Linked DNA regions of Oryzias latipes. The protein of the gene in region 3 interacts with the protein of the main gene of each other region in a biochemical or structural test. Links are inferred from orthologs where the notes say so. Each region holds a gene or a part of one and is shown on either strand. Other genes may lie near its edges.

Region 1 (3,753 bases), on a different chromosome or scaffold from region 3:
GTGGTGTTTTTTTTTTTAATTTTGACATAAGTTTTCTCATGCATCACTCGTATCTATGCTCCTCTGTGTGGTTAGTTGTGCTCTTTATCCGATTTGAATTAAGTTAAATCAATCTGATACTAATTTTAGGGATTTTTTTCCGTCAGTAATGTCTAGAAAAATCACGACTGAGATTAAATGTTTTATTAGCAAACTAACCCCACATGTGTGTCTTTGCTGGCATCAAGCCAATAAGTAACTCAAACCAGTTCTATATTTTGTCATCATTGTGTCTTTGACTTGTGTGAATAACTTGCATGTATAACGATACAATCTTGCAACACATAATGATGACATGGTTTGAATTCACAGATCGGTCACTAAAAAGAGGAACCCTAATGCTTGGAGCCATTTTTACCACTGATAATAAAAAAAACTCAAAGTAGCTAGACCTGCATATTTACCTAAATGTTTTGGCTATGGGGCATTTAGGGACCCAAAGGTCACTATTAAGAATGTAAAGAGATATCCCAGCTGTTCTCATCACAGATCTGTTTCAATAAGCAGAGAAATTTGATTAAGACACTAAAGTTGTGGTTTGAAATCCAAACAGCATGCTTAAAGGTACAAACATTGTGATGCATTTCAGAGATAAATCCTACATGTTAAGTTTGTCTTCAATGATCGTTTTTCCAAACTTTCTTCCTAGATTATGATGACTACCTGGATGATGATGATCTCGACCTCATTGAGGAAAATTTAGGCGTCAAAGTGAAAAGGAGGGTAAGAATTTCTCAATAAAATTCCATTTCTACTGCCTTTTCCTTAGACTCCAGCTGTCCTGAACATACAGCATCTTTTGGAGAGCTTGGAGCGTTTGATAGCTGTCCTAACTATGTATTATCTTGTACTGCAGAAGAAGAAATATGACCGCGTCAAAACACTTGACGAGGATGAAGATGACGATGAGAAGGACCTGATCGCAGATGAGATTTTTCATGGAGATGGTGATGGTGATCTGGAGGAAGGCGAGGCTTTGGACGAGCCCCTCCAGACTGTAGATGATGAGGAGGAAGGAGAAGAGGAGGACTCAGGTTGGAAAAAAGTTTTGCTAGATCTCTTTAAAATAATGTCAGCATGTTTTTTTCAAGGTTGTGAATCTCCTTTGTAGTGTGTTTTATAAGAGGAAGAAGTTCAATTTATATTTATTTTCTTTCCGCAGATATAGATGATTTTATTGTGGATGATGATGGCCAGCCCATCACAAAAAAACGGGGCAAGAAGTTCTCTGGATACACAGATGCGTGAGTGTTTGAGCACTTGAAATGAGAAGAACCTACTCGTATTTTCAATTCCTACACATTCTTGTGGCATTAATTTAAGGGCAGTAAAAATGTACAGAATTTTTCTATTTGATTTCTAAATATCTGTACAAAGAAAGAATAGCCCCAAAAAAAAGGTACGTTTTTTAATATGTGTTTCAAATCCTCTTTCTCCAGAGCCCTCCAAGAAGCCCAGGAAATCTTTGGTGGCGACTTTGACTTTGCTGACATTGGTGTTGATGAAGGAGGTGAGGAAGAAGAGGAAGATCCAGAAGAAGAGGGCTGGGACCGACCTAAGAAACAGACTAAAAGGAGATTGGGAAGAAAGAGCATCTTTGAAATCTATGAGCCCAGTGAACTGGAAAGCAGTCACATGACTGATCAGGACAATGAGATTCGATCCACAGACATGCCTGAGAGGTTCCAGGTGTGTGATTTAGTATATTAGTACATTTAAAAAGTCATTCTAAGGGTTTATTTAACATTCCAAATGAATTTGTAAGCTAACATTTGGTTGTGAAAGTTTTATTCACAAAAAAACCCAGGTCGTTATTGTCAATAAGAACATGTGCCTAATGGCCCACCTGGTTAAATAAAGATAAAAGAAATGATTCACCTGATAATGTTGCTAAATGTGTTTTTTGTTTGTCTTTCAGTTACGATCCATTCCTGTTAAGCCCGCTGAGGATGATGAGCTGGAAGAAGAAGCCGAGTGGATCTTCAGACATGGTTTCTCCACTCTCACCATCTCCATGCAGGTGCAGCTGCTGTCTCTAGGCTACGTCAGGAGATGATAACATTGCTTGTGGTTAAAACAGATCTCATTACTTTTTCTCACGTTGTCCTCTAAAGGAAAGCACAGACTACCTTGACAGAGGGACAACCACAAATTTCAGCAGAAAGGGTCCAAGTACAATTGCCAAGATTAAGGAGGCTCTTAACTTCATGAGGAATCAACAATTTGAGGTACCACAGATTTATAACATTCACCTTTTAAGGATTTAACTGTTTTCATCTTAAGGAGGACAAAAACTTGCATTTTTTAAACATTTTTTCAGGTCCCCTTTATAGCTTTCTACAGAAAAGAATATGTTGAACCAGAGCTAAATATCAATGACCTGTGGAAGGTGTGGCAATGGGATGAGAAGGTATTTTCACATTTTGTTTTATTTATTACTGTGACTTTTTTTTCTATCAATGTTTTAACGTTTGCATCAATATTTGCTTAAACTTAAACACTTCGATTGGTAGTAGTTAACTTGATTTGCAAATTGTTTAGTGGACTCAGCTGAGAACCCGAAAGCAGAACCTGACCCGGCTGTTCCAAAAGATGCAGTCATATCAGTTTGAGCAGATCTCTGCTGACCCTGACAAGCCCCTGGCTGATGGCGTTCGTCCTTTAGACACGGCTGACATGGAGAGGTGCGACCACATCACACTGCAGGCTGAGAAAGATGTTACTTTATAAACCTTGTTTAGCTTCAGTTGCCCTCAGAAAATAAGACAAAATTTCATTAAAGAAGCCTTTTGACATGTTTTTTTTTTAATTGTATCATTATTTTTTTTAATATTCCAAAGGCTAAAAGATGTACAGACTCTTGAAGAACTGGGAGATGTGTACAATCACTTCCTGCTCTATTACGGTCGAGACATCCCCAAGATGCAAAACGCTGCTAAATCCACCAAGAAGAGGCTCAAGAAGATCAGAGAAGTGACAGAAGATGGTAAAATCATGTGAAGTGATGAAAATCAAAAGAGCTTTCTCCTTTTGGCTTATTTGAAAATGATTTGACCTGAAGGGGAAGAGGAGGAGCTTGAAATTGAAGAAGAGGAGGAACAGAAAGCCCCTGACCTCAAGCAGGCATCTCGTAGGGACATGTACAGCATTTGCCAAAGTGTTGGACTTGGTTAGTTTTTTTTTTTTTCTTCATATAGCCAAATTAGTGATATTAATAAAATTGTCTGCTGTCCTAATTTTCTTATGCTGGTTTTCTCTTTTTACAGACGGCTTGGCTAAAAAGTTTGGTTTGACCCCGGAGCAGTTTGGAGAGAATTTAAGAGACAGTTACCAGCGTCACGAGACAGAGCAGTTCCCTGCTGAGCCTTTAGAACTGGCAAAAGATTATGTGTGCAGTCAGTTCTCCACCCCCGAGAATGTGCTGGTAGGAACTAGATATATGGTTGCCATGCAAATTGCTCGGGAACCTCTAGTCAGGCATGTTCTTCGCCAGACCTTTCAGGAGAGAGCCAAGATTAACATCAAACCCACAAAGAAGGGTAAAAAGGTACGGTGGTTATCATCAGAGGTTAATTAAAGACCCACTCAGATGACAAATGTTCTTGGTGTTCTTAACATGTCCTTGTGGCATTTTTCGGATGACAGAGGACATGGAAAAAAAATTAAGCTTAATTTCTAAGTATTTTTTTATTCAAATTTAAAAGCAGACCAAAA
Region 2 (4,218 bases), on a different chromosome or scaffold from region 3:
TTTTTCCACTTTTGTCTTTGTCGTAGCCCTCCTAACACCGTTGAAATGATGTGTTTTAAGAACTTTTTTTACTCTTGACATGTGTGTTTCACTGACCGCCATTCATCCCATCATTTTATGTTAAAACCCCAGTCTTTTTCTGGTAGTCCTGGTGTGCAAAGAGGGATCTTTGACCCTACTGTGGCTTCAGGAGTGGACCTGCAGCACCTCTGCACTGCCTTGGTTCTAACGAAACAAGACATTTCACAAAGTAGCACTGCAAACTGTAGCACTGATCCTGTCTGACCACGTCGAAAACTTTTGTAGAGCTACTTTTAAACATTCATTTTTTTGGTCTTCTTTTACAATTTGGTTTTAAAATCTTTCTCGTTGTCCTTCTGCACCGCGCTGATGTTTGTGTTTGGCTGAAACTGTACGTGAGAAGAAGAAAAGCCCCCTTCAAGTGGTGCTTCTCACTGTGCTGATTCCGTGTATTTATATTCTGAATAAAGCTGCAAATAAAGTACGCGCCTGCTTCATGTGTCAGTACTTTTTCTAGAGGTTTCCAGAGCTGAGTATGTGTAAACATCTTTGTGGTGTTTCTATAAATAAAACTAAGAGAGAACGCACACCGTAGATCTGTTAAGGCTGCCGCTGCTGCTTCTAGTTGGTGGAAAAGTGAGGAGACTGTGGTTGAAGTTGTTTCCAACCACACTTGCTCTTATTTCCGAAGCTGAGTGATAACTGCTGTTGTCGCAGATGAGCTGGCTATATTTAGCCCTCCATCAAAAGACAAAGATCAGCTGTATTGTAACTAAAAAAGGAAACTTGAAAAGGAACGAACTGGAACAAGAATAAAGTGCTTATACGAAAACTAGGTACCTTCAAAGAGGTGCAGCACAGACTTCTGGGATGTCTGGTACCTCAGCCTGTCTTCTGCATGTGAGGAGGTTCTGTGCAACATAATCCAACCACATGAAACTTCTCAGATCACCACTTTTAGTCCAGTTTATATCAATGAGTGCTAATGAAGCCATTGAATTGTTTTAAATAAGCGACTCGTCGCATTTCGGGCAGACACTCGGCAGAATTGCAGGTTACTCCCCTAGGGCGGGTCTGTTAATTAACCCACCTGCTTAGCGTCCTATTTAAGTCAGGTGTACAATTGTTCATTCTCTCTTACCTTCAGCGCTCATTCTTTGCCCCTCCCTCCTCCCCGGCTTCCACCTGTGGGCTCCGTTACGGGGGTTGTTACCCGAAAGTGTATGGAAAAATAATTGTCTCAAGGAATTGAACGGAGCCTTATGCCAAAACGAAGTTGTGAATCAAATTGTGAATGTCATCCTAAAGATGTTGTGAAAACCTAAAGATGTCGTGAAATAAATGTTCTTCTGCAAGAGTTGTCTGACTGAAATGCACAAAACGTATCTTGGGAGCTGCATGACACGTGAAACAATCTGATGTGATTGACTTGGCAGCTCAAACAAATTCTTGATAGCAAACTTTCCATCTGCTTATTCAGCACTGATTTGATCTTCTCTCGTTTCCACGCCGCTCTTTCTCACAAACATCACGCTTCATCTTTTTCTGACATTTCAAATTGTGCAGCCTAAGTTAGGTTTTCATACGTTAGATGCTTCATGCTTAAAAAAACACAGTTTAATCAGTGAACCTCTGAATGAGGCAAGGGGAGCATCACGATTCTGCAAAAGTTTGACTTCTAGTTTCCCTATAGCTAATGAGAGCATCAGAGTGGAAAGGAAGATGTGCATATTTGATATCTAGGTGTGATGTTCAAATGCAGATTTTCACCTTTGACCTTCTATGACATCCACCCCACAGTGGTGCAACAGGATCATTCTGAATGGCAAGAACATTAAGGGTGCTTACGTACGCTGACACTTCATTCTGTAAACAATTGATATAGTATCAGCTGAACTGTCTGCAGATCAGTCCAGGATGTTGAAACTGTTTCGCGTCACAGGAAGCTGCGGCTTCGCGACATGCATTTATGTGAGGCGAGAAACCTCTGCTCTTCAGTCAGCCTTCATTGCCGCCAGCAGCAAAAACACAGCAGTCTTCATGTGAAGTGAGCAGAGAGGGGAGCAATCTGTTCAGCAGGCCTGAGTTCCGACATGCAGGACACGTTTGCATCTTTATGGTGACTACAGACACGGATTTATGAACAAGAAGACCTGGAATTTGTTTGTGGCTCTGCATTTCTGAGGACTATTACTTCTCCAAGCAGAACTTCAAAAGGTGAGCGACCTTTTTGTTTATTTTGCTCGCCATTTGACTCAACTTCTGCCTCCAAGATTTTAGTTATATGTCCTTTAACTTGTATAAATATGCTGCACAGATTGAACTTTGCAAAAAAAAAAAAAACGATTGCATGAACAGAATAAAATCTCCCCTTTTGAGATGTGGACCTTATTCCTGCCATGCTCTGCATGGAACTTGAACGCAGGATATCAGCACCTTTTGTTGTGGTTTGACACCTTGAGTATTTTGCTTTTGGTTGCCTTGTTATGACGCATGTACATCCCCTGTGTGTGACAAAGTTAGCAGGCAACAACCAGTTAGTTTATTTTAATGTTGGTTTTTTTTCTCTTTAGGTCTTGGCAGACGTCTCAGATTGCTGAAAAATGGGCTCCTGCTTAACCAGATGTTGCTCAAATTTAGAGGTTTTAGAAAATGCACCTGAATCAGACTCACCAGGTAGATTCAGCTCAGAACACAGACATGCAAACTTAAATATACAGATTCCCCAGATCAAATGTTCACCGCTTCTCTTTGTGGCTCTGTAGTCCTCCAGGAAAATGTGATTGTATCGCTCCACGACTACCCAACGTTCGAAGACACCGAACCCACCATGTTTGCTGGTGAGAGACTCCTCATCGTATCAGAGTAAGTGGAACAGCTTGTAAGGTTTCAGTTTTGCCACAGTTAAAAAAAGAACCCTACGTTAAATTTGTTTCTCTTTTGGAACAAAAACAGAGATGGAGATTTCATGACGGTGAGATCCTCAACCACTGGCCGTGATAGCTACATCCCCACCAACTATACAGCCAAAGTGATGCACAGGTGAGGAGCTGTATGCTGTTGTTGTGAGCACAAAAAAATAAATGAGGCATACTGTCCGTGTAGGTGAACTGTTCCTCAGTGGAGACAAATGCTTGTTCTCCAGTGACACATTCAGCCTCTGCCTCCTCCACCTCAGTCCTACTCAACAAGCTCAGATCTTCTTCTAATGGGTTTTTCCAGACGTCAGGACAGAATTTGGTGTCCCAGTCTGAAGGTGTGATGTCCTTTGTTGCAGGTGGCTGTTCACAGGCATCAGCAGGTACAAGGCAGAGGAGCTGCTGCAGAAACCCAATAACCAGAACGGATCCTTTTTGATTCGAGAATCGGAAACAAACAGAGGTAAGAGCTTTGTTGTAACCTTTTGTGTAAAGGAACTGTTTTTTAGTGAAAGTTTTAATTTATTTTAATTGTAAGGGGGCAGAATGCTGAGCCTGTCTGTGCTTTCATACCATTTTAGGTTTGCTCAGGTTAATTTTTGTTCTGCTTTTATAAACCAGAAGCAAATTTATCCTCAAGAAATCATTCCTGTTGGAAAAAAATAGTCTGATTATTACTGATTTGTTCTGATCATTGTTTGTTCATTGTTAGAAGTGAAGATTATAGAATAAGGAAGCACACAAGACATTTGTGATTTCTAAATTCTATTTCTCCTCCAGGCTACTTTTTAAACCATAAACTTTCTGGAAACATTGATTAAATATGTGGAGAAACAAAAATGTGTCCTACAAAAAGTTTTTATTGAAAAACAGGATAACTAGTTGTAGAAATTGATGACATTTGGTTCATGTGAGACACCAAAAGATCAGCCAAGTCAAAACAAAAATATCTTAACCGCTGCATCTGTGGGATATTTCTGTCTTCAGACAGCCACTCACTATCCATCTTGATGAGAACCAACTCCTCACGATTGAATCCTGTGAAGCACTACCGCATCTACCGCCTCCAAAACAACTGGTACTATATTTCTCCAGGACTCACCTTCCCCTCCCTACACTGCCTCGTGGAACACTATTCAGGTCAGAACTGAAGCGGGGACTCTCTTCTGGGTGCCTTAAGACAACAAAACGTATAAAACTGACTGAAAACTGGGGCTCCTCTTGCAGAGTCTGCAAACGGCCTGTGCTGCCAGCTGACAGCGCCTTGCTTCATCCAGGG
Region 3 (4,260 bases):
TCTTTAGTTTTTAATATTTTATGATTCTGGTCTTTAGGATGATTCTATAGAGGGGTAGTTGGACTGTTATAGCTGTTAAAATGTGATATATTTGGGGGAAAGGTGTGCAAACATACCCACTTTAAAGATTTAAAACCCTTATTTTGGCAATACCTTGTCATTTAAATGCAATATTTCCTATTACCAGTGAAATATACATAAACAATTTGTCTTAAAAGGTTATTACATCACAATTTATTTTAAGAAATTTTACCAAAACAAGTTCTTCTAGTTCCAATGTCAAATTTGTTTTCCCTTATAACAAGAAAAGAACTTCTACTTTTCTGTATTTTCAACTTGTTTAGAGATACATTTTTTTCTTCCATTGCTTGCCCACTGAAGATTTCTTTAAATTTGTTCCAGAAGTCATTATGAAAGTTTAGCCACTCTAGTGAATCAGTAAATGGTGAGATACAGAGATGTATGAGTCTATGCACTTGGGGAAAGTTTGGAAATAGAGCAGGAAAATTGTATTGTGTGCGTGTCTGTGTGTAAATACATATATGTGGGGGGGTTTTTTGGACAAAGCACAAGAAATGTTAGCCCCCAATAGACTGAAAACAAAAAGGATAACAAGCCTGAGAACATCTCACAGGATCAAGCATCTCCTTGAGATGCTACTGCTAAATCCTCCATAAACAACAATAATTACAACATAATCCAACATCTTGAAGTTTGTTGACAAAGACAGTCTGATCTAATTTTTTGGTATTTCTTGTATCATGGAAAATTTGGAGAAAAAAAAGTCCTGAAATATTGACTATTTCCCATATGTTATGATTTAAATTCAAATAAATTTAAAAATCTGCATTTGATACCTTCTGGGATTCTGGGGTGCCAGGAAGATCTACCATTGAAAATGCAAGGTGCCAAGTTGGTGAAGGTAGTAGTATTATGGTGTGGAAGTTTTTATTTTATTTTGTTGTTCCAACAAAAATGATTTTTAAACACTTCAGCACATTTTTATTTTAGAGAACTTTAAGTTCTTTTGGCAGTGTTCTAACATGATGCTCAAAGCTACAGCCTCATAAAGATGAGCGTTTAGAACACTTTTCAGATACATTTCAGTTGGAAAAAAAACATGTTTGAGTAGGATACATAAATTTGACCAATAAATAAATAAACATATATATATTTGTATGACAGAAGGAATCCATGCATTACAGTCTTTAATGTCACATTGATAAGCGTGTAGTGAGTTTGAGGTCTGCAGACAGAAATCTGTGATTGTGGGCGGAGTCAGAGTGCCACTCCTCGCGCAGGCCTTCACGGGAGCGCGCTTGTCACACTGTTACTACCAACAGTCCGAGTTCGGAAGTCTCCGTGGATAGGAAGAAGGGCAGCAATTTCACTAAGGGAGTCGAGATTAAAGCTGCTATTATTTTAAGGTCTAATATTTTAAGAAGGAAAAGACCTATTGTGTTTTTTTTGTCGGCTACAACGAATATTAGACAGACCTAACTCTGGAATATGGACTAAACGCGCCGGGTGCGAGCAGATGGAAGCCGCGAGAAGTTTGGTGTTTATCGGAGCCGTTCTGCTCGGAGTGCCGGGCGTTTTGGGCGGAGAAGGTGGGTGACTTTTGTCGTCTTTTGCGCTCTCACGGTTTGGGAACGCGGACATACTAGACCCCGTTCGAGTTGTGTTCGTGTGGACGTGAAGTGTGAAGTCGACGCGGGTTCCTGCATTCCTCGTACGTGATTTCGTCCTCCCTGCGGAGATTCATGGGAGTTATGGAGCGCAGATAAGGACAAAATTCCCACCTGTCAAAAAGTAGCTTCGCTAAAAGCTTTCAGTTTGAATTTCAATTACAAACTTACACTAAATTGAATAAAGAGAGTTAAAGCCACATAGTTGGGCAATAAACTCGAGAACTGGTGTTGAGATGCAGCAGAGCAGTGTTGGTAAACAACAAACAAACAAACAAACAAAAGCTCTGTGTGCAGAAGATCATCATGACTATGTCAATTATTCACTTCTGGCTCCTAAGGGGACATTGTCTGATAGAGGGCCACTTATCACACTTGGAGCTTGGAGTGCATGCCAGTAAAGTAAGAGCTAACTAACTGAAAGTGCAAATAAGAGCAAATTTGCAAAATGCAAATCAAGATTTCTTTTGTTTAAAGCCAAACCTGAGGAGTTTTTGGATTTCTTCATGTTGCAGAAAGTAGCACCGCTCTAAACTATTTGTTTCATTGTTTTTCACATTTCATATACCAATTATATAAAGTCGAAGAAAAGGAGTCAGATTTGAAAAACTCCAATATCATTTTTTATTTCTGCAAGAAAACCACAGTTTTCATGATTATTATTATGAACTAGTTTAATATCTGTTCTAGGAGGATTTAGCAATATCAATAAACATGTAAAACCTTTGCACAGACTGAGACTATGTGCAGACTTTATTAAATTGCCAGTTTTTGGGGTTAAAAACAACAAAAAGAGCCATGAATTTTTTTTTTTGGACTTTGATTACCAATTTCCAGCTCAATTAAGTTGAAAGACGAAATCCTTAGAGCACAAACAATACTCCTGTTTTATTAGCTGCCCCCGAAGCACTACCACTAATCGGACACACGCAGGAACAAAGCCAGTAGTCACAGGTGAAGTCATTTCTGAACGCGACAGCATTGTTGGGGGGAACAGGTTGGTGCACTTTAGTCTGCAGTGTTGATCTCTGAAGCATCGGACCTGTGCCGGAGTGCTCTGACTGGTTCCCAGAGTTAAGCAACATGTTATGCCCAAGTGTTGACTTCCAGCCTTCTTACTTTCATTTGTTATGTCACTCACACGTGTGCACAGCCCCTCTATGCAGGATCCTTGGTGTGAGGCGATTGCCTCAGTGGACGCACAGTTCACGCCCTTGTCATATTTTAGCGCACCTCAAGGCAAAGTCTATTTGAATTGACGCTAGTTGCAGGTTAACTCTGCCCGTCTAGACTGTTAGTGACCTGACCCACTCTGACTGAGATCAGGATGGTCGTTCTCTAAAAAGGCTCCGCTCACCCTCATGTTTTTCAGAGGAACGTCCGTTTTTTGGCAATAAAAAACTTTTAATTCAACCAATCAAGCATCTTATTGTTTTAATATTATTTTGCATCTTAACCTGGGCATTTAACACTAAGACACTATCATTTTTTTCATGTAAACCTTTTAAAGGCTGTGTTTGAAGATCAATTTGTTTCAATTAAAAAGACAATTCAAAAATATGAAATTCCTCGATTTAATTCTTTTTATAAGAATGTATCACAAATTATCTGGAAAAATGTATCAAATTTATTCGTTTCTATTGTGAGATTTCACAATATTATGATCAAAGGTTTTACTTTTGGTCACTTCATCACTAAACAACTTATTTTAAAACAAAAATTTGACCAGTAAAATGACATTTAATCAATTGTAATGAATCCTATCAAAATTTAGAATTTCTTATCAAAGACTTTACCAATAATCACACTAAAGTTCTCACTTCAGCTCAGGTTATATCTAAAATGCTTTTTTACTTGGAGGGAGATTTGTCTATATTATATGTTGTCATTATTTGTATAAAATGCTCAAATTGCCCTTACCCTACATAAAATGTTTGCATGTCAGTGTTATTTTATTGCATGTATGCAAAATGTGCGTGTGTGTGTTTTTTTTTTAAAGATTTTGTGCATGAATGGTTTCCCATAAGCTCAACTCTCATGTTCAGACCCGGCATTGGAGCAGCTAAATTTAAAAAGAGGACTGTGATGCGTTCACTAATAATAGTCAGTGGTGTGGATGCTTCATAAATATCTTGAAGGCTTGAAGCTCTTGGGTCTCTCCTTGTTGTCTTCATATAGATCCAAAGGTTAAAAAATATCATATTTATATGACTTTGATGCACATTTTTATGCCTTCAGTTTCCCAAAATATTGTCGGTCTGTAGGAATTTATTTGTTCTTTTGACCTGGAACTGAATTTCTATGATACACAGTACTCAGAAATCTGTCAAATTGTTTTAGCTCAATGTTGGTAAACTACATTGACTGTAGGTCTGCATGATATGAGGAAAACTTGCAATATTAGTATTCAATATTGTGATGACGATATAACTTGCGATATTTGAACAAATAGTAAAACTAGCAAAAACGTAATTCCCACTTCACTGCAGTTTAATCTAAATAAGAGTCAACATATCTTAAATTATACTCCAAATAAAACTAGTCTACGTGGGGGGCGAGTGTCTAACATAAA
Region 4 (4,487 bases), on a different chromosome or scaffold from region 3:
GGCTGATGCTAACGCTTGTTCGACCTAAAGATACATTGATGACTAAATGAACAGCTTTATGTACTTAACATATTTTAAAGTAACAATTTGTGGTGTAAAGCACCATTTTTTGCATAAAGTGTAATGCAATAGCATGAGCTCCACTTAGTGGCCAAACTGAAAGGCAGCTCTGAGAGGCACAACACTTATTTTTGTAATATGAACAGTTTAGAGACGTTACAGTGTTAGTGATCTGCAGATTTTTGTCTGAGCTTCTCCGAAACCAAGCAACATTGTATGGTGTTAACAATCTCATTGGTTTATTATTTCACTAATACATTTTACAGTACATGAACTGTGTCAGATTCATTTGAATATCTTGAAAACATGTAAAGATTATTATTGTATTTCTATACCAATATGTCTAAATGTGTAAACCGTGTAAATTCAAATTTGAATTCAAATTATTGAAAGAATTGTAAATTGAATAGATCCAGGCTCTGGTGAATCGAATCAATTCTAAACTCATTGCTGTTACCCATACAGCTCTAGTTTATTTGTACTTCTTCCATGGTTTTAAGGTGGTTTTTGTGATACGTCTGTGAAAAGGCCACAACTTTTCTCACTTTTTCCACGTCTATTGTTATGGCTGTTACGCCACTTTGTGATCATCTCCCCTAGACTGTGGCAGGTTTGCCTGTTGGGACAGTAACATTATTCCCGTATGACCAATTTTCCTCCGTGCAATATGCGCAAAATGTACATGGTGGCTATGTGACACGGCCTTTAAAGCTCCAATAGTTTCCTGTCCAGCAAGATGCTCAAAATACATTTTTAATTTACAAACCCTGGATAAATTAAGAATACAAACATATTTTAAGTACAACAATTAATCAAGAAAAGTTAGTTTATGATTTGGAAAACCTAAAATAAAAAATTGTGTTTCTGTTTCTAATGCTCTGAACTCAGATTATGGGAGACAAATTTAACCAAAATCCGTTTCCTCATAGATGTGAATGAACTTAATTCTGCTCATCCAGAGAGAGACGGCTTCTGTCCAGATAACAAACCCCATCATTACTGCTCTCCACAGCAGAGTCCCGCTCGACGGCCATAAGCCACAGCCAGGAACTTATCACAGTCCAAAGTCTCAACGCTCTGAGCCTCGTTTGATTATCCAAAAGAGCTGCAAATCTTTACATTTAAGGAAAAGAGAAAGTCAGATTGGTTTTGCTGATAATGATAGCCTTATAAATGTTTATCAAAAGTACACATGGTTGAAGGATTGAGATCTTAGTCAGGAGCAGCCATTGTCAATAGACAGGTAAAGATTAACCCAAATACCTCATTCTCACCTTTAAGACAGCACCGCTTTTATTCACTGACATTTGTTCCTCATTACAAAACCAAAATCAACAAATAAAATTGCATTTAAGGACTGAAAAGAATCCAAACACTTAGATTATAAAATAGTTTACATGTTGCTCAAACAGATTCAAACTATTTCTGTTTAACACTAAATGCAGCAAACGGACAGTTTTCCTTTTTGAGATCAGAGTTTCACTTTAACTTTGTCTTTTCACGTCAGTTTCAAAGTAAAAACAAACGAAGCGTAGATCGTGGTGTGAGCCATTTCCTCCTTTTCTATTCCCATGAGCCCTCGCTGACCTGCAGCCGTATAACAACTCACTGTATTTACACAAATGAGCATTTCCTCCCACGTTCACCTTTAAACTCCCCTCAAAAAATAGGCATTAATAAACAAAAACAACGTCTAATATTGCAGAAAAGCCAAAACAAGACTCAGAAAGCTCTTGTTTCCCTTCCATCTAACACTGAGGACATCTGTTTTCATAAAACTTAAAAGGACAAAATTCAGTTTAAAATGAATAAAATCAACAAACTGTTATTCCATTAAGATTTAAAAAAAAAGACATGATATTGTCAAATGGAAGCCGAAATGTTCAAATAATCCAAAACTACAACCAAAAGGCCTCAAAAGTCAAAGCCATAATGGGCGTCATCATTACAAACCAGTGAGACTTTAACATAAACCGAGTCTAATGTCATTTCCACAGAATCTGAGCAACATGAACACAGTTTGAGTGAACTTTAGGACTTGATGTCCATCATAAATATGAAAAAGGCAGTAGTGGTGCTCCCTGTGTGCCTGCTGCCTCCCTATCTATTAAAATTCAAAACACAAGGTGCTTTTGTGAGCTGGACAAAGCCAATCCTTCTTCTGCTCGGCAAAAGCCAAGACCACAGTCCAGAACCGTTTCCTCATGAGGTCTCCCAATGGTTCTACCAACAACATCCTCACTTTGGAAAAATATATATATATATATATATATATATATATATATATATATATATATATATATATATATATATATATATATATATATATATATATATATATGAGTTAAATAGACTAAAAGGCTTAGATCTGGTGTGAAAAGGTTTTTTGAATAAGTCTTTTATTTTGAAGGTGGAGGTGAGCTGCAGCTGCAGGTGTAGTTGCAGCTCACCTCCACCTTCCGAGGTTCAAGTTCCAGGTTCCGAGCCGGCCGGCCGTGCACCTGCAGACGCCGCGGCTGCAGCCGCAGCCGGCCGCGTGGCAGTCGGTCCGCCGTCTGCAGCCCTGCATACGCGCAGCAGCGGGAAAAAAAAAGCGAACTTCCCGTCTTCAGCGCGCAGACAACTTTGACGCCAACCAGCCGTTCAAGATCACAAACACGCATCACAAACACTTACCGTCGGACGCGAGTCGCTTCTGCTCTACAAAAAAATAAAGAGAAAGTATCTTCTATCATCTGATCATGGTTTGGAGGCTGGGAGCTGAAAAGGACGTTTGGTGCTGACAGTAAGAGCAGCCGCTGGACGCTCGGTTCCTCTATGTGCGCTGGGATAGAGGAACTAAGGAAGTAAAAGTTGACTTGCATCACACACAGAGCATGCAAGTTTTTAAGAAGTCCGGAAGCAAGGACGGTATCTATGCAAATGAAGGGAGGCTCGGGGCTTTTGCTGTCAGCGGTGATGGCCACACCAGCTTTTATCTGACTCCCTGTGCAACAAAACAAAGAATAATAATAATTAAAAAAAAAAACCTGCTATTTCTGTAACTCACACTACCTTTGGGACCATAAAAGTTATTCAAAGCATAAAGTTTGCCCCCCAAAACAGTTTTTTTTAAATAATGTAACCTTTCTGCTTTTTTTTCCTGTTGGAGAGTTGAAGGCGCAGCGTCATCTGACTCTTCTTCATCCGTCTTCAACTGAAACGCAACAGGGATTGAAGTTTATCTGACCATCTCCAAACATTTTCATGAAAAAAAACATTTTCTGTGTGTGTTTGAAGGTTTTTTAAGGTTAAATTTGAAAAAAACAACAACAACTTTTGAGTCAATTTTTAATGTTTTTATGTAGAATAAAACTGACTTGAAACAGAATTTAACCAGTGGCCCAAAACATCGGACACGAGCGGATTAATTAGTAGGAAAATTAACAAAACAGTCATTTGTTTTAGCTCTAAAGTACCTAAACTTTGTGCAGTTTTTAATTATTAAAGTCTTCTTTTTTTAACTTCTTTTTGTCTAATCCAACTGAGGTAAATGAGAAGTCACTGCTTATATTTTCATCTAAAAATGAGATAAAAGTAAATCACTAAAAGTTTCCTTATTTAACTGTAAAATATTATTCACCTCAGCTTCAACATGTATTGAAAGGTCCCTCCATATAAACCAAATGAGCCAATCAGAAAGCTCTTTGGGCAAAACAATATTTGAATTATTGTCCTTTGTTTTTAAAACTGCAGATGGATTATTATGTGTTTTTAACTGTTCGAAAAAAAATAAATCCTATTAGTTTGAAGCATCTTTTTCCTAACATGTCAACTACAGGAAAGATTAACATGACATTTTATAAAGCACAGAGGGGGGAAAAGTTTCCCTTCTTTTTTAAACCATATGTAAACCTCTGGTTGCACCTGTACCGCTCTTTGTCATAAACCATATGAAGCATTTGCATGACTAACATGGTGCAGGTATTTGCATGTTTGCAGAGCAGAAAAAGGGGGGGGAGGATGAACACAAGGCTGCCTTTCAGGCTCCAAGGAAGTCTTTGCATTCAATGCAATTCCATGCCGGTCGCAATTTACAAAGTCGCTCATGAAGCCAGAGCGGACAACAGTAATGTTCGACAACAACAAAAAACTGTTGCATGAAAATAAATCTACTGAAGAAGCCTGCTGTGAAGAATGCAGTCCAGACAGACAGACAGTTATTTACTCCAAACTCTGTAAAAGCTCCATTTATTCCATAAATACAGTTTAGTGCACAGCAGGAACTGATATAAAGACTATGAACACAAATCCAGTTAGACCTTCCTACAGAAGATGTAGCGCTGTTGCCTCACAGCGAACAGGTCGTGGTTCGAATCCCGGTTGGGTTTTGGTTTGCATGTTCTGTCTGTGGATGTGTGGGATTTTCCTCCCAACAGTATGTTTCA
Region 5 (4,402 bases), on a different chromosome or scaffold from region 3:
GTTCCTGACAGAGGTACCTGATATGGCTAAAAACAAAAGAGCCTGCTTTTGTTTAAGTGTGTTCCCTAAAAATGACCACCAAGTTTCACTTTTTTTTTTTTGTTGTTCTTTTTTTTCTGTTTATTCCTTGAGCACCATTGAATCTTGGTAGGCCTCCTGGGAGATGTTGTCTGACTGGTACAGTGACAGACACTGCAGCACCAAGGTGGTGATGTAACACGGGAGAATGTGGGTCATTGGCTGATGAACACTACTGGTGGGCTCGTTGTGATGGTAATGAAACCTGATTTGTCAGGTTTGATCTCATAATCCAGCTTCAGCAAAGTGAGAGCTCATCAGTGCTGAAGATGAACTCACTCATCTGGGTTCGAAAGAAGCTCAAATAGAACTGACCTTTGTTGTTAACCCAGTGCCAGCTGCTGTCATCTGATTGTTTCGTAGTTCAATTCAATAAAAAGCCCAGATTATAGTTGTTTACCTGAGAGAAGAATGTTGACACTGCCACAAAGTGTATGATATAAAAAAGCCAAAGGCTATATTCCAGGACAGCTCCCTTCCCAACGCAAGGAATAGTCAGATCTCAGCTCTGTCCAACAGACACCTTAAAACACTGCATCTTTCTGCATAGACCAACCTAGAAGGCAAATACTCTTACATTAGCAGTCGCTCACAACAAACATCCCACAAATGAAACAGTCTGTAACAACTTGACCTCAGTGGGAGGCAAATGTACACTTTTAGCCCTGCAGCAAGCTGTCCTGCCTAAACCTTAGTGCTGCTGAGGCACTAGTCATATTTACAGAACATTGACCTTTAGACTTGCAAAAGATGAATAACTTACACAAGGCTGCACATCTGGCACCAACCTTTTAATAATACCAAAAGGAATGGCTTATTATAACATTTGAGAATGCAACTAAGCCAAAAGTATAACGGTCAAGATTGTAGTGGGTGCTGGATGAATGGCAAAAGGAACAGTCGCCTACACCAGTCTAGCACCACAGAGGGATTGTCTAGCAGTTCTAGCTAGCCATCCATCTGGTCTTGGACAAAAAGCACCAAGGAGGATCCAGATATACTCATCCACTGCCAGACAGGCCTGGATGATCTCCAGAAAGCTATAAAGTAGTATGGCTGGAAAAGACACAAAGTCTTCAGATAAAAAGCATGCAGAATAAATTAACAGTCTGTCACACACTTAATAGAACCAAAATTAAGTCCAAAGAGGCTTAGAACGTTCCATAGGCAACACATCCAACACGTGTTAACAGCAGACTAGGAACACCAGTTGTTCCTTCTGAGAGAACTAATAGAGTCGAGTCAACCCTAGCTCTAGGATGTTGGTGCACAAAACACAGTGAAGGTCAGGTGACTGCAGAGGAGACGGCCCTCTACATGAAGAGAAATCCTGAGTCACCAACAGATGAGCGCTGTAATGAACAGACTGTCATAGATGCAGCACTGCTGATGACTGATGATCATAGGCCTCAGGGTCAAACAGCAGCACCCACGGATATGTACAAGTGAAGTCAGAGTGATCATCTAATTCACACAGTCATGCCTGATAGTAGCACATTGAGGACAGATGAACTGAAAAAAAAACATTGGATAACAAACTTTCACACAGACAAAGTTAGAGTTAACAACTATGACCCCTAACACAAAACCCACAAATCATACAAAAGCACAGGCTAATTCTTTCTAAGATGTTACATCTATGATGATCTATGCAACAGCAATGAAACAGCACCAGTTTTTAAAATGAATTTTGAAAAAAAGGAAAAGAGGAACTTTACATCTAGTTCTGTCTGCAGCTGCTTCCCGTTGCTATGGCAACAGACATTAAAAGAAAAGCCCGCCGAGCATGTATGCCGTAAAGTCCCGACAACAGCAGGAATTTTCTGGGATAACTGCTTTGTGGAATCAAACTGAAAAATAGATGAGCCTTTTGGATTTTTTTCCACAGAACGGCAGGATAAAACAAACAAACAAAAAAAATCACAGGCTTTTAGAAGAAGAATACGATTAAGATCAAAGTTTGACTGCTTTGGAGCCACCCATCACACCTAATCAGTGTTGACATCCCACATTGGATGCATGTACGGACTCTAACAGCTAGTCAATCACAAATCATATCAAACAATAATAAAAAAAACCTTTTTCAATTAACAAGGAACACCACACCTTAGTATTTAAAAGACAACTGTTACAAAAACTTGCATAAAAAGCTGAATCTTCTGAGAAACTTCTAAAAGAAATGATTGTATAACATCCTGCAGATCTACAATTATAGAAAATATAAAAATTAGAAGTCGAAAAGAGAGTCTATATTTACAAAAAGTCCTTTAAAAAATGTTTTGTATCAAGTGAGCAACACATTTGCTTCTGTGTTCTTCATTTTTCTCACTAAATATCAAAGCTTCTATAGTTGTTTTTTATTATTATTATTAATAATAAACCATTCATGAAAAGCTGGTTTTCATGTTCCAATAAGAAGAGCCCCAGTGATGTTTGAACAGCCACAGAAAGTCGGATCCTTCGTCCTCTCCTTCCTCTTTCTCTGGCTTTCTCCTCATCCACTCCCAGAAAAATCGCGCTTCCTCTCTGATCCGCTCTTCCGCTCGGTTAATTCACAAAGTCACTGCCGGCTCCTGCCGCTCCTCTCCATCTATCCTCTCTCCTCCGTTTGGCTGCCTCCTCTTTCGTCCCCCTCCTTTGTCACCCTTCCCGTCTCTCAGCGGATGGTGAAATGGCAGTGCTGTCAGGATGGACAATAGCACTCCTTCATTGTACTTCTCTTCTCCCCTCGTGTCTGCCTCTCATGCCCGCTTTCCTTCCACCTCTGTCTGTTTGAGGGGACGAGCATGCTGTCTACCCTCCCCTCCTCCTGTCTGGGTGGGTGATGCTGCCTCCCATTTTCTCGTTCTCTCTTACTCTACCGTGCAGTGCTGCATGCCCCCCTCCCCTCCACCTTCTTCTTTTCCATTCTACTTCCTTCCTGCCCCCCCCCTTCTCTGCAGCCAGAGTCATTTTGAAGTGCACATATGCATGCACAGCTACATACTGCCCTCATGCACATTAATGCACTCTAATGCTCAAGGGGGGGAGATGGGGAAGGAAGGAAGAGGGTGAGTGTGTGTCTCCACGTGCACAGCAGTGCATGCGTGGAAAAACTGGGCTGTTTATGTTGGCCATTCAAGAGTCCTGCCTTCGTGTTTGGTAACTTGAGAAACAGATTTCAAAGACTGGGACAAAGAGACCCCCCTCCCTTCCCTCCTTCAAACCCCACAGCCCTTTAGCCAGCAATTCTGTGTGACAGGAGGTCACTCTGTATAACCTTGATGGAGCCAGATAAACTTAAAAAAAAAAAAAAAGCATGAGTTACATCTGCACAATGAATATGAGAAACACTCACATGACTAGGACACTAAAATATAGAAAGCAGAGAGACCAGAAATTGCCTGTGACAGTCAAGCGGATCTGATGAGAAGTCAGTGTTGCAGAAAAGAGAGGAAACCAGGCATAGAGTGCTGCAAGAACTAAGCAGAGGGGAACAGCAATAAGTCCTCAATTCACACCAAAACAACAAAAAAAAGTGCTTCTAGCTTAAATTTAAGCACCACACCCCTGCCAAGTGCCCCCTTCCATCACCGTGCTTGCAGTATTTACTACTAATGATTAACAGTGAAAAACAGCACCCTCCACCAGCCTGAACCACAGTGGCTTAGAGTTGACACACAATACCTTCAAAATTCCCCCAAAATTTGTGTACCCGTTTTGAGATTTACAGAAAAGGACTAGAGAAGAGACTATTGCAACTTTTTATAAGGTAGACACAGTTATAATGAATCCAGTCTTGCATAATAACTGCGTAAATAATTGAAGCATCTCCTCTCTTGAAGGATATGATTTTCATTTTTCTGAACATTATGCAACCCAGTCCCAAAAGGTCCAAACCTGCAGCCCTGAAAAAAACTTAACCGTAAAGTTCAATTCGTGGCTCATTAAAGCAACTTTATCAAAAGACCTATTAAAGCTGCAAGGGTGAAGGCAGGATTTATTGCTGGACTGCTGTAAACTGCATGTGCTTTTTTTGGGGTAAGACTAATAAACTGACGTCCGAGTACAGTCTGAGGAAAACTGCAATAAATTTCCTTGTGCATATACATGGCAGAGTAATTACTCATGCATGACTACATGCTGACTTCAGACTCTAGTTTTACTTAAATAAGGTAACTCAAGAACAAGCTTTACTTTTATCTGTTACACTGCTGCAGTAGGGAATATGTGTAAAAAGGTCTTTCACAACAAGTTTTTTCTTTTTCAAAATTTATTTTAGAAACAGAATTGTGCCTCAAAGTTAGTATAAAATTATCCTGTTTTATATTTCTTATGTTGTTTA
Region 6 (4,537 bases), on a different chromosome or scaffold from region 3:
GTGTGTGGGAGTGAGTTTGCGTGTAGAAGTGTGTTTGTGTGCACAAAATGTAGAAACAGACAGATAAAAAAAAGAAACAGAAACAGACAGATACAATTCTGGATAAGAATCCAGACCCAAAGAGGAAATATGAAACTGTTGAGCATCAAATTGCTAAAGTGCACCCCCATGTACTTATGAGGAGGAGTGACCACTCACGTCTGATGATGCAGGTAGCCGATGTTACACACATTTGTTTAGTGGCTTCTCAGCAGGACAGAGTCTTCTCACTCTGTCCTCTGACAATATAAATGTTGAGTGAGCTCGGCATCCGTATGGCAGCCAACGATAAAGGACGGAGCGCGTGGGAGATGAACGCTTCACCACTGACTTCCATTTCCTGTCTCTCACCCACCAAGTCTGACTAATTCCACAGACAAGCATGTGCCTCTCGCAACCACACACGCGCAGGATAAATACTCGACAACCTGAAATCTGTCACCTATTACGATATGTTGACAAAAAAGCCACTTTTTGTTTTTCAGGAAAAGATTCTCCTCCATGTTTTTCCTCAAGCAGAATTCTTCTTAACAAGTCTTCAAGATTTTTTTAACAGACATTCGTATTTTGAACTCATTTATTTAATATATTGATTTTTTTAGATAATATTTACAGTAAAATATAATATTTACTGGAAAACATTTGCAATCAAACTTAATTTTTTTTCTTTCCTTTTTACTTTACAAACCATAGTCAACTATTTACTATGGGAAAAAGTCTGTAGAAAAACCCTGATCTTTTTGTTGTAAAAGTAACTTTTTAATAAAGAAATACATATTTTTATGACATATTTGCATGGAGCAATATGCAATATTTTTTTTGTCAAATTACAAACATTTCTGCCTCTGCATCAAACTAAATCATAAACTGAATGGCAAAGACTGGATCTTTCTGATGCAGTTTTCTTTTTTCTTTTAGCAAAAACTTCCAATTATCAAATCTAAACCCCCAGAAAAGAGATTCTTTGCTGAGTTTTTTCGTTATTTCAACATCGGGCTGTAATCTCCACATGTTGCCTGTGTTGTGTTTAGTTTGAAAATAAAAGCAGCTGTCTGTCAAAAAAACTTACATTCAGAGTCAGATGTTAGTTAATAAATGATCTTAATGTAGAGGTGAAACAGTGTGTATATCACATAAAAGCGTTCCTAGTGGTCTTTTAATTATGATCATGCCGTTTTTAGCCAAAATAAAAAAAAACTGTGCTGTTTTCTAGGACATAGTTTTTGCAGGGCGGTAGTTCATTATAAATTCACCTCTTCGTTGTGGGCGGGACTTTTGCCGTGGAGTAAGCCTGCCCCGACTTCCCATTATCCTATGGTTTTCACTCTCTCGCTAGCTTACAGCCCCTCACAACCCCATCGGTGCAACAACAATTACAAGCAACATTGGGGCTGTCTACAGTTCTGAGCCAGATGCCAGCTCAGACGGGGAAACAAGGATCTATTTGTCTCCAAGTGGATGCATCAGAATGGAGCAGAGCAGGGAGTTTGTTGCCTGCCATTTACAGGTTCTATGTCACACTTGTAAGTTTTTTCATTTGCTCCTGCATTCACAAAAAGAGATACTCAGAAATGCTGTTTTAGGCTTAATTTTCTTAATTCGTGTTCTCCATTATCCAAAAAAAGCACAAGAATATTTTAAAAACACAGTTTTCATCTGAGTGGTTCTTTAAAGATGAATTGTTTTCATAAAAGGGTAATTATGGGGGCGTTTCTTCATGGAGCATGTCTGGACTTTACATTTTAGCCAAAGCTTCACTTTCAATAAAAGTCATCAAACTATTAAATGTCTGATTTTGGAGCACTTACATATGCCAAGAAAGCGTCCATTCTAATTCATCACATTGTCACAGCATGATGTCAGACATGCCAGCATCACAAATCAATGAGTGAAAAGGCGTTTCTGTGCGAGCTTCTGTTCAAATCGGACTTGTTAGGCTTCATGTTACCTGTCTGTTCAAGCAGCTCATAAAAAGATACGTGAGAGAAAGTCAATAGAGGGCCTGTGACAGGCCTGCTGCAGTCCCAGGGAGTCTATTTAAAGGCAGCAGTGGAGCGTGGTGCAGGCTGCGCGCTGGACTTCATGAATGGCCTCCTGCTGAATGGCTGACAGACCCAGAAGGCAGCGATGAATGGGAGCCTGCGCGCGTGAGCTGTCACGGATTCTGGATCATCTTGAGCGCACCTCTGAGGGGGCCGCAGACAGATCCCACCTTTATTGCGTCTATTTAGCGGATTTTATGTCTTAGGGGGAAGAAGAAGAGGAATAAGCCTCCTCCGCATCTCCACCCCTCAAGCAGAGACGCAGACTATCCCTCTCTTCCATCACGGGCTGGATGTGGCCACTGCGTTTCGGTGAGACTTACCGCGCGGACGTGAGAGAGGGGCTTATCCCCCAGAACGCAATGTGTCTGCAGCCAGAGGTTGTTGTTATTGTCCTGCAGCTAAAAGAAAAAAAAAAGAAGAACCGACGCTGCAGCGTTTCTGCTCGCAGCATCAGCGCAGACGCAGGTTCTGCTCACAAACGCCAGGATGATCAGGCGCGTAAAGAAAAGCGCAGCGGCACTCACCTCAACAGAGGACGCGGTCCATTCTGTCCCAGAGGAGAGCAGACTCCGGCTTTCTGCACAGCAGGTCCTCACTTTTCAGCGTCAGCCATGGTTAGATCCTCCACCTGCTCTCATTTGTCTGGTTTATAGAAGCGCGCAGGCAGCCAGCTCTTCCTCCATCTCTGCTGCGGAACACTGGGCACTGCTGCCGCCGCTCCACAGACCTATTTAACCACACTGAGCTGCAGGAAGGCCCATTTCCGTTTGAGTTTTTCAAAATAAAGGTAGGGAATTCCAAAATGTAGACTTCCTTTTCGCTTTTGGTGAGGGGAGGGGAGAAAAACAACAACACCGCCTTGGGGTGGGCACTGCGTGACAGACACGCAGATCAATGTATCTTAATAATAATAATAATAATAATAATAATAATAATAATAATAATAATAATAATAATAATACTCTACAGTGGAAAAGATATATTTGGTTAAACAGGGAAAGTAAAATATCAGGTTAAATGGATGTTGAATATTACATGGAGTTTTTTTTTGGTCATATGCTCATATGAATTAAATTAAATTGTATTCAGATTTTTCAAAGATAATATAAAAAAATAATTTTTAAAGTATCATATACCTGGACTATATGTTACTTTTATAAATTAAGAGCATAATGTTGTTTATCGAAATTTGTCTCCTGTTAAAAATGTTTCTTCTCAACATTGTATGGCTTTTAATTTGAAGGTGAACTGAAAGGCCAGTACTGAAACAGCTTGCTTCACTTGTGAATGTGTGTGTGCGTGCGTGTGTCTGTGTCCAAGTGTGTAACATGTGTGTATGTATGTGTTTGTGTGTATACCTCTGTCCTTAAAGGAGCCACGCCCGTTTGTTGTTATCATCCCACTGGCAAAAATCCTGGATGTATTGTGTTTCAGTGTGTGCAGGCCTGGGCGCTCAACAAATGAATCCATATTCAAAACAAAAGCACGGTCCAGCCTAGCAGCAGATGCACTACACCAGCTGCTCAAGATAAACAACACAACAAAGCAAAACAAAAAAAAAAGGCCAAAAAAACGTAAATCCTGGCTAAAGCAGACAGTCTTCCATCAGTGTTTTGTGAATGGCGGAAACTGACAAAATTAGATTCAAATATTCTCTACATCATGATGGAGAGGTAACCCCCACAAGGTCAGCTTGACAATAATAGCTGCTCTACAAAACGTGTGTGTGTGTGGGTGTGTGTGTGGGTGTGTGTGTGGGTGTGTGTGTGTGTGTGTGTGGGTGTGTGTGTGGGTGTGTGTGTGTGTGTGTGTATGTGTGCACACCTGACATTCTGAAGAAAGAGAGAAAATACATTCCTATCTGATCTAAGAACACCAAAAAAGAGGAAAGAGAATTCAAAAATAAAAGTGAACAACCTGATATACTTATGTTTATATTAATTCATTATCTTAATCCAATGTGTTTACAGTTTGCGAGAGAACTATTTAAATATCTGGTGCATATTTGACTTAGTTCCCCAAAATGCGCAACAACAACAACAAAAAAAAAAGATGAATGACCAAAAATGTTGGTCAAAACTCCTAATTTCATGTTATTACAAAATGGTTTTGTCCCATTTTTGTGCAATAAAGCATTTTTGAGCCACTGTTTATGAAAAAATACTAGCTGTTGGGTCGTTTCCGACTTTTCATATGGTTTGGTGATGCTTCCTTCAGAGTCAGCGGCACAGGGAGCTTAGTATATTATAATCCTCTCTGAGAGGATTGAATCTGTGGGGCTAAGTACTGAAATAATAACAGCAGACAGTAGTAAGAGAGGATGAGCCATGTCAGTGGTTAGTATGTCTCAGAAAATAAAATTAAAGGGTGTGTTTATGCTTTTTTATTTTTATAGAAATAATGTAGCTGCTCATCAGCTGTAAAAATACATTAAAAAATATTTACTAAAGATT
Region 7 (4,375 bases), on a different chromosome or scaffold from region 3:
GTGGCTGGTGTTAAAACATTCAAGACATTAGTTCAGGTAATTTTCGTTTGAACGGATAGGCCAATACATCACATGACCTTCAGCAGCTTCCTGGAAGCAGCATCCATCTGGCAAAACGGGGTATCTCAGCCGTGTTATCAGACCTGCAGAGTGCATTAGATAAGTTATCATGCAAATATATATAAATATATATCAAAGAAAAACAAATTCCTTAATGCTAAATGTGTGCAGAAGGCATGTTTACCAGCAGCATTGTGTTGGTGATAGTGGATGAGCTCAGGAATGGTGTTGAACAGATACTTTTCAGCCAAGTAGAACTGTCCTCCTTCCTCCTGCCTTATCTGATAATGTTTCACCCTGGGATTCTTTTCACCTTTTGATCTAAAAAATACATATGTATTTACATTTTAGAGCAACAAACATCATAAGAAAATAGCAAAATGTAAACTAATGTTTTTAAAAAAGACAGAAAAAGGGGATGTTTACTTATGTAGAACATGTTCAAACATACTAATGTAAAATAAAATGTCAGAAAGCACATTTTGTGTAGACTCTTTGAGTTGTATGTGGTTAAAATGACAGTTACCCGGGCGCTTTGGTGTAAACGGACACCGTGTAGACTCCTGCTTGTCTTGAGTCCCGCACCATGAATGCACCTTCTTTTCCCTGTAGTAAGAATGAAGATATTGCATAACACAGCTGACTGTCTTGCACACATCTCTTTTCTCACTTTTTTAAGATTTGTTGCTGGCCAAGCTCTTTGAAAGTGTCTGAGTCGCAGGAGGTGATGGGAGCGCAGTTCTCCCACCTGTTTGCAAAGTTCAGCAGACATTCTGTCAGCAGGAAATTCAGTTTTGAAGGAAACATCGCGGTTTTGAGAACAAATGTTCACGTCCCATGTCACTCCACAATGTCAGTTTGCAGGTGCATTATTTTTGCAAAAGCAAGATTTCTGTGGGCGGCACTATTGAAAAGTAAAGTGCGTCTTATCATGCCAGAGGAATTTTTTTTTTCTTTTACTTGATTTTTGAGATTACCAACCAGGTAATTTTCCATAAAGCACGACAAAGTTTAAAATAAATAAATAAATAAGTGGTTTATGCTCCTACCTTTTTCATTAACAAGTCTTCTGCCTCGGCTCTGTTAATGTGCTTGTTGTACCATCTGTAAAGCGACAAATCAACAAGTACATCTAAACAGTGTCTTGTAGATGTGTAAGATTAAATAAGATCTGACAAAACTCACTGAAATCTCTCAAAGTTTTTGCCACATTTTTCCGCAACGTACGTACTGGGCACAAAACCAGTTTTACTGTTAAGAAAAAAAAAATCACAAATATGTTCTTTAGAAATATTTAATTTTCAATGTATTGGTTTTTTAAAAGAAGGTCAAATCTGCTTTTTTATTTATTTATTTATTTTTTAAAGCCTTACCCCTTGTCGTCCTGCACAGCCCACCACTCAGAGTGGGAGCTGTTGATCAACAGGTACTCCTGATCTTTCTGGAGGGGCAAATCGTCGTCTCCCATGGGCACATAATCTTGCAAAGCTATGACCATCCCCTGTGTTGAAGGTTGTAATGACATCTGCAAAAATCAACCATATCTAAGAAACAATTCACTACTAAAAATTCATTCAAAAAGGCAAAAACAATGTACAAGACATGACTGGACTTTTACAGTTAGGGTAACATTTGATGAATAAACCGGCTGTCTCAGTTCTATTCAAATAAATCTACCAGATGTACAGAAAAGGCAAAGCAAAAAAAAGTCAAGTAACTTTGCTATGAATTGCTACAAATTGCTGTAAATTAACTGATTTGTCAGTTTTCAATGGCTGCATTAATAGAACATTAACATTTGAAGAGGTCTACCTCTGGATCTGGGAGTTGGGGAAGTGGCTTCTTAGTGACTGTGGATTAAGTAAACAGTGGAATTAGTAGTTAAGGCTTTTTCTTGCATATCACAAGCACTGACACAGAATCCTATGCAGAGTATAAAGATTTTAGCATCTAAAATGCAGATTTTTAGGCCACAATCCCTTTTTAGGGAGAATATTCACAAAGGTAAACAAATAAGAAATAAATATATGATAAATATATGAAATGGAACGTGTGAGATCTAATTGTAACTAAAAGAAGAAACAATAACAAATGAATACAAACCACAACCCACTGGATCATACACACGACAACCTGCTGCCAGTTTGTCAGTTTGTAGGCAGCATCTCCATTTTCCATCCATCCAGAAGTTTGTGTGGTATTTTGCAACCAAACTGTTATATTTAGTCTCTACATAGAAAGATGAACATATTTCTTTATATGCAGGTCAAGATATTAAAATTACAATGATACAAAGAGGTTCTGATTGAATTACCCTCCTTGAGGGCTTTGACCCATCTCATACGACAGTCGTTGTCTGGAGCAAAAATGTAGAGGTAATAGTTGTCATGAAGAACCTGCAAAGCATTTGTGATTTAAAGAAAATATGAGACAGAAATCTTCAAAATTCCTTTGAATTAAAAATGAAATAAATTATTTTTTAAGTTAAAAAACTGCGACTGGTACCTGAAATGGGTACTTGTATTGGCATGGTATGGGGATGTCACTACACACAATTTCCACACACTTAATACTGGACAGTTGAATGCAACCTTTTAGCATGGGCTTCTTCTGCAAGATCGTGCCATTTCCAAAAGTTGTCAGTTCAGTCAAGCTCAATTTGACAATTCCATGAAGCACACAAGCACTCACCCCCGAACGGCGCTCAGAATACTTCAGCTCCTGTGTGTCCAAAACAAAAAATCTCTCTTTGTAATTACACGGTGACGTTCTCTTCTTTTGCTGAGATTTTTTGATCATGGTTCCCTTCAAAATCACCCGAGGAAACATGGTTAGCAGTTGAGAATAACACCACTGGAGACACTGGGTGGTATTGGACGGAGTAACTGAAAGCCTCTGACTGCAGGGGGGAAAAAAAAGGGAGAATGCAAACATTGAAGATGCCGAAGAGTTTCCGGCGTGGGTTAGTTGCATGCAGTAAACCACATCCTTGTGGCAACACTCTGTGCAAGCAATCACACACTGATGTGCACACAAATACACACACGTATCATCACGTATGTTGTGTTAAACTCAATAAAGGTTTTTTTTTTAACATGAACCTTTGATGTACTATTGATCAAATTTTGCATAAAAATGTAAGCTTTTTGTCAGAATTGCTTGGTTGTTAAACAAAAATGTTTTAGAAAACAATTTAAATTTTCATATTAAATCAAAAGCTAAAAACAAAAATAACACTGTTAATCAATACCTAAGAAGCCATAGCTGGGGTTTTTTTTCGGAATTTTTAAATTTTCTTTTTTCTTCATTTAAAAGAAACTCTCCGCTTGTATCAAAATTGTAGTAAAAAAGTACTACTGAAGGAAAACTTAAAAATGAAAAAAATGCAATTTTTAAAAATGTAAAATGCATGATAAGTTATATCCTACAAACACTAAGAATGTCAAGGTTTCATGAATCACTAAATGCAGAAAACAGCAAAAGAGAAAAGTCTGGTTTCTAAGAAAAATGTATCCAAATACAATATGGAACCTTTGATGTACTTTTCATGAGGCTATGTTTTCTTTGGGGTTAGAAAGATTCTTATTTTTCTTTTCAATTTTGGTTCAAATACGATGTTCTTGTTTTGTTTTGCACACTCCGAAGCACAACCTTTGCCCTCTGCTAAATATTCACTAGGCCTATGACAACGTTTATAAAATAAAATGTTACATGTCATTCTTATTTAGTGTCAGGGTCAAGATGAAGTCAGCTTACTTATAATAGTTTGACCATTTTTATTTAAGTGTAAAAAAAAGAAAAAGAATGAATATTAGGTGTTGCTAATTGACTAAGTAGAAAATGAAACATAAAATTCAAAGTTAGACACTTTCACCTGCCCTACTGTATTTAGGGCGTAAAAACAAATGATAGATACATTTTTAAAATTAGAGTCCCCCTCCCCCCCCTTTTTTATGGTTACAGATCTGAACTTTTTTTGCTTGGGTTTGATTTCTTAAGCAGCTTATTTTAAGAACATATTTTAAGATTTATAGGCCTACCAGGATCAGAACCTGAACTCACTATATTAAACAAACAAAAACTAACAAAAAGTTTAAAACAATTAATACAGGAAAGAGATTAGTTTTGAATAAAACCCACTAATTATAAGGTTAATAATGAAATACTTTAAAGGCTTGTCGACGCAACCAATCAACGTCGAGTTTGTTTCCGGGTCACTGTCCAATCCTGGCATCTGAAACTCAACCGGGAAATGAATAAAGCGAAGCTAGTCAGGAGCTAACTGGCTAGAAGAATTTTCATCTAAACTCAACCA

The links.
Region 1: the proteins of receptor tyrosine-protein kinase erbB-2 (region 3) and supt6h form a complex in vitro, tested with the Homo sapiens proteins (2 studies listed by BioGRID and IntAct, with this or other methods). The link is inferred for Oryzias latipes from reciprocal best matches to the Homo sapiens genes ERBB2 and SUPT6H.
Region 2: the proteins of receptor tyrosine-protein kinase erbB-2 (region 3) and src-like-adapter 2 form a complex in vitro, tested with the Homo sapiens proteins (2 studies listed by BioGRID and IntAct, with this or other methods). The link is inferred for Oryzias latipes from reciprocal best matches to the Homo sapiens genes ERBB2 and SLA2.
Region 4: the proteins of receptor tyrosine-protein kinase erbB-2 (region 3) and plcg2 form a complex in vitro, tested with the Homo sapiens proteins (2 studies listed by BioGRID and IntAct, with this or other methods). The link is inferred for Oryzias latipes from reciprocal best matches to the Homo sapiens genes ERBB2 and PLCG2.
Region 5: the proteins of receptor tyrosine-protein kinase erbB-2 (region 3) and shc1 form a complex in vitro, tested with the Homo sapiens proteins (2 studies listed by BioGRID and IntAct, with this or other methods). The link is inferred for Oryzias latipes from reciprocal best matches to the Homo sapiens genes ERBB2 and SHC1.
Region 6: the proteins of receptor tyrosine-protein kinase erbB-2 (region 3) and sh2b2 form a complex in vitro, tested with the Homo sapiens proteins (2 studies listed by BioGRID and IntAct, with this or other methods). The link is inferred for Oryzias latipes from reciprocal best matches to the Homo sapiens genes ERBB2 and SH2B2.
Region 7: the proteins of receptor tyrosine-protein kinase erbB-2 (region 3) and itk form a complex in vitro, tested with the Homo sapiens proteins (2 studies listed by BioGRID and IntAct, with this or other methods). The link is inferred for Oryzias latipes from reciprocal best matches to the Homo sapiens genes ERBB2 and ITK.

What each region holds. Positions count from the first base shown.
Region 1 is NC_019872.2:8,918,047-8,921,799, forward strand, and holds part of supt6h (transcription elongation factor SPT6), read left to right. Parts: intron 1-688; coding exon 689-762; intron 763-895; coding exon 896-1,073; intron 1,074-1,201; coding exon 1,202-1,283; intron 1,284-1,478; coding exon 1,479-1,728; intron 1,729-1,957; coding exon 1,958-2,059; intron 2,060-2,153; coding exon 2,154-2,267; intron 2,268-2,359; coding exon 2,360-2,449; intron 2,450-2,580; coding exon 2,581-2,723; intron 2,724-2,879; coding exon 2,880-3,025; intron 3,026-3,100; coding exon 3,101-3,208; intron 3,209-3,305; coding exon 3,306-3,586; intron 3,587-3,753.
Region 2 is NC_019863.2:26,193,437-26,197,654, forward strand, and holds the start of src-like-adapter 2, read left to right. Parts: upstream 1-1,408; 5' UTR 1,409-2,238; intron 2,239-2,594; 5' UTR 2,595-2,624; coding exon 2,625-2,697; intron 2,698-2,786; coding exon 2,787-2,886; intron 2,887-2,976; coding exon 2,977-3,063; intron 3,064-3,298; coding exon 3,299-3,402; intron 3,403-3,926; coding exon 3,927-4,079; intron 4,080-4,166; coding exon 4,167-4,218. UniProt on the Homo sapiens protein: Adapter protein, which negatively regulates T-cell receptor (TCR) signaling. Inhibits T-cell antigen-receptor induced activation of nuclear factor of activated T-cells.
Region 3 is NC_019877.2:7,422,609-7,426,868, reverse strand, and holds the start of receptor tyrosine-protein kinase erbB-2, read left to right. Parts: upstream 1-1,307; 5' UTR 1,308-1,537; coding exon 1,538-1,610; intron 1,611-4,260. UniProt on the Homo sapiens protein: Protein tyrosine kinase that is part of several cell surface receptor complexes, but that apparently needs a coreceptor for ligand binding. Essential component of a neuregulin-receptor complex, although neuregulins do not interact with it alone.
Region 4 is NC_019864.2:28,000,311-28,004,797, forward strand, and holds the start of plcg2 (1-phosphatidylinositol 4,5-bisphosphate phosphodiesterase gamma-2), read right to left. Parts: upstream 2,922-4,487; 5' UTR 2,737-2,921; intron 1-2,736. UniProt on the Homo sapiens protein: The production of the second messenger molecules diacylglycerol (DAG) and inositol 1,4,5-trisphosphate (IP3) is mediated by activated phosphatidylinositol-specific phospholipase C enzymes. It is a crucial enzyme in transmembrane signaling.
Region 5 is NC_019874.2:18,333,932-18,338,333, forward strand, and holds the start of shc1 (SHC-transforming protein 1), read right to left. Parts: upstream 2,931-4,402; 5' UTR 1-2,930. UniProt on the Homo sapiens protein: Signaling adapter that couples activated growth factor receptors to signaling pathways. Participates in a signaling cascade initiated by activated KIT and KITLG/SCF.
Region 6 is NC_019871.2:13,807,446-13,811,982, forward strand, and holds the start of sh2b2 (SH2B adapter protein 2), read right to left. Parts: upstream 2,833-4,537; 5' UTR 2,609-2,832; intron 2,483-2,608; exon of another isoform or gene 2,405-2,482; intron 1-2,404. UniProt on the Homo sapiens protein: Adapter protein for several members of the tyrosine kinase receptor family. Involved in multiple signaling pathways. May be involved in coupling from immunoreceptor to Ras signaling. Acts as a negative regulator of cytokine signaling in collaboration with CBL.
Region 7 is NC_019868.2:21,188,607-21,192,981, reverse strand, and holds the start of itk (tyrosine-protein kinase ITK/TSK), read right to left. Parts: upstream 2,957-4,375; 5' UTR 2,890-2,956; coding exon 2,752-2,889; intron 2,671-2,751; coding exon 2,566-2,670; intron 2,457-2,565; coding exon 2,375-2,456; intron 2,290-2,374; coding exon 2,164-2,289; intron 1,911-2,163; coding exon 1,873-1,910; intron 1,586-1,872; coding exon 1,434-1,585; intron 1,312-1,433; coding exon 1,246-1,311; intron 1,165-1,245; coding exon 1,110-1,164; intron 667-1,109; coding exon 587-666; intron 382-586; coding exon 245-381; intron 144-244; coding exon 78-143; intron 1-77. UniProt on the Homo sapiens protein: Tyrosine kinase that plays an essential role in regulation of the adaptive immune response. Regulates the development, function and differentiation of conventional T-cells and nonconventional NKT-cells.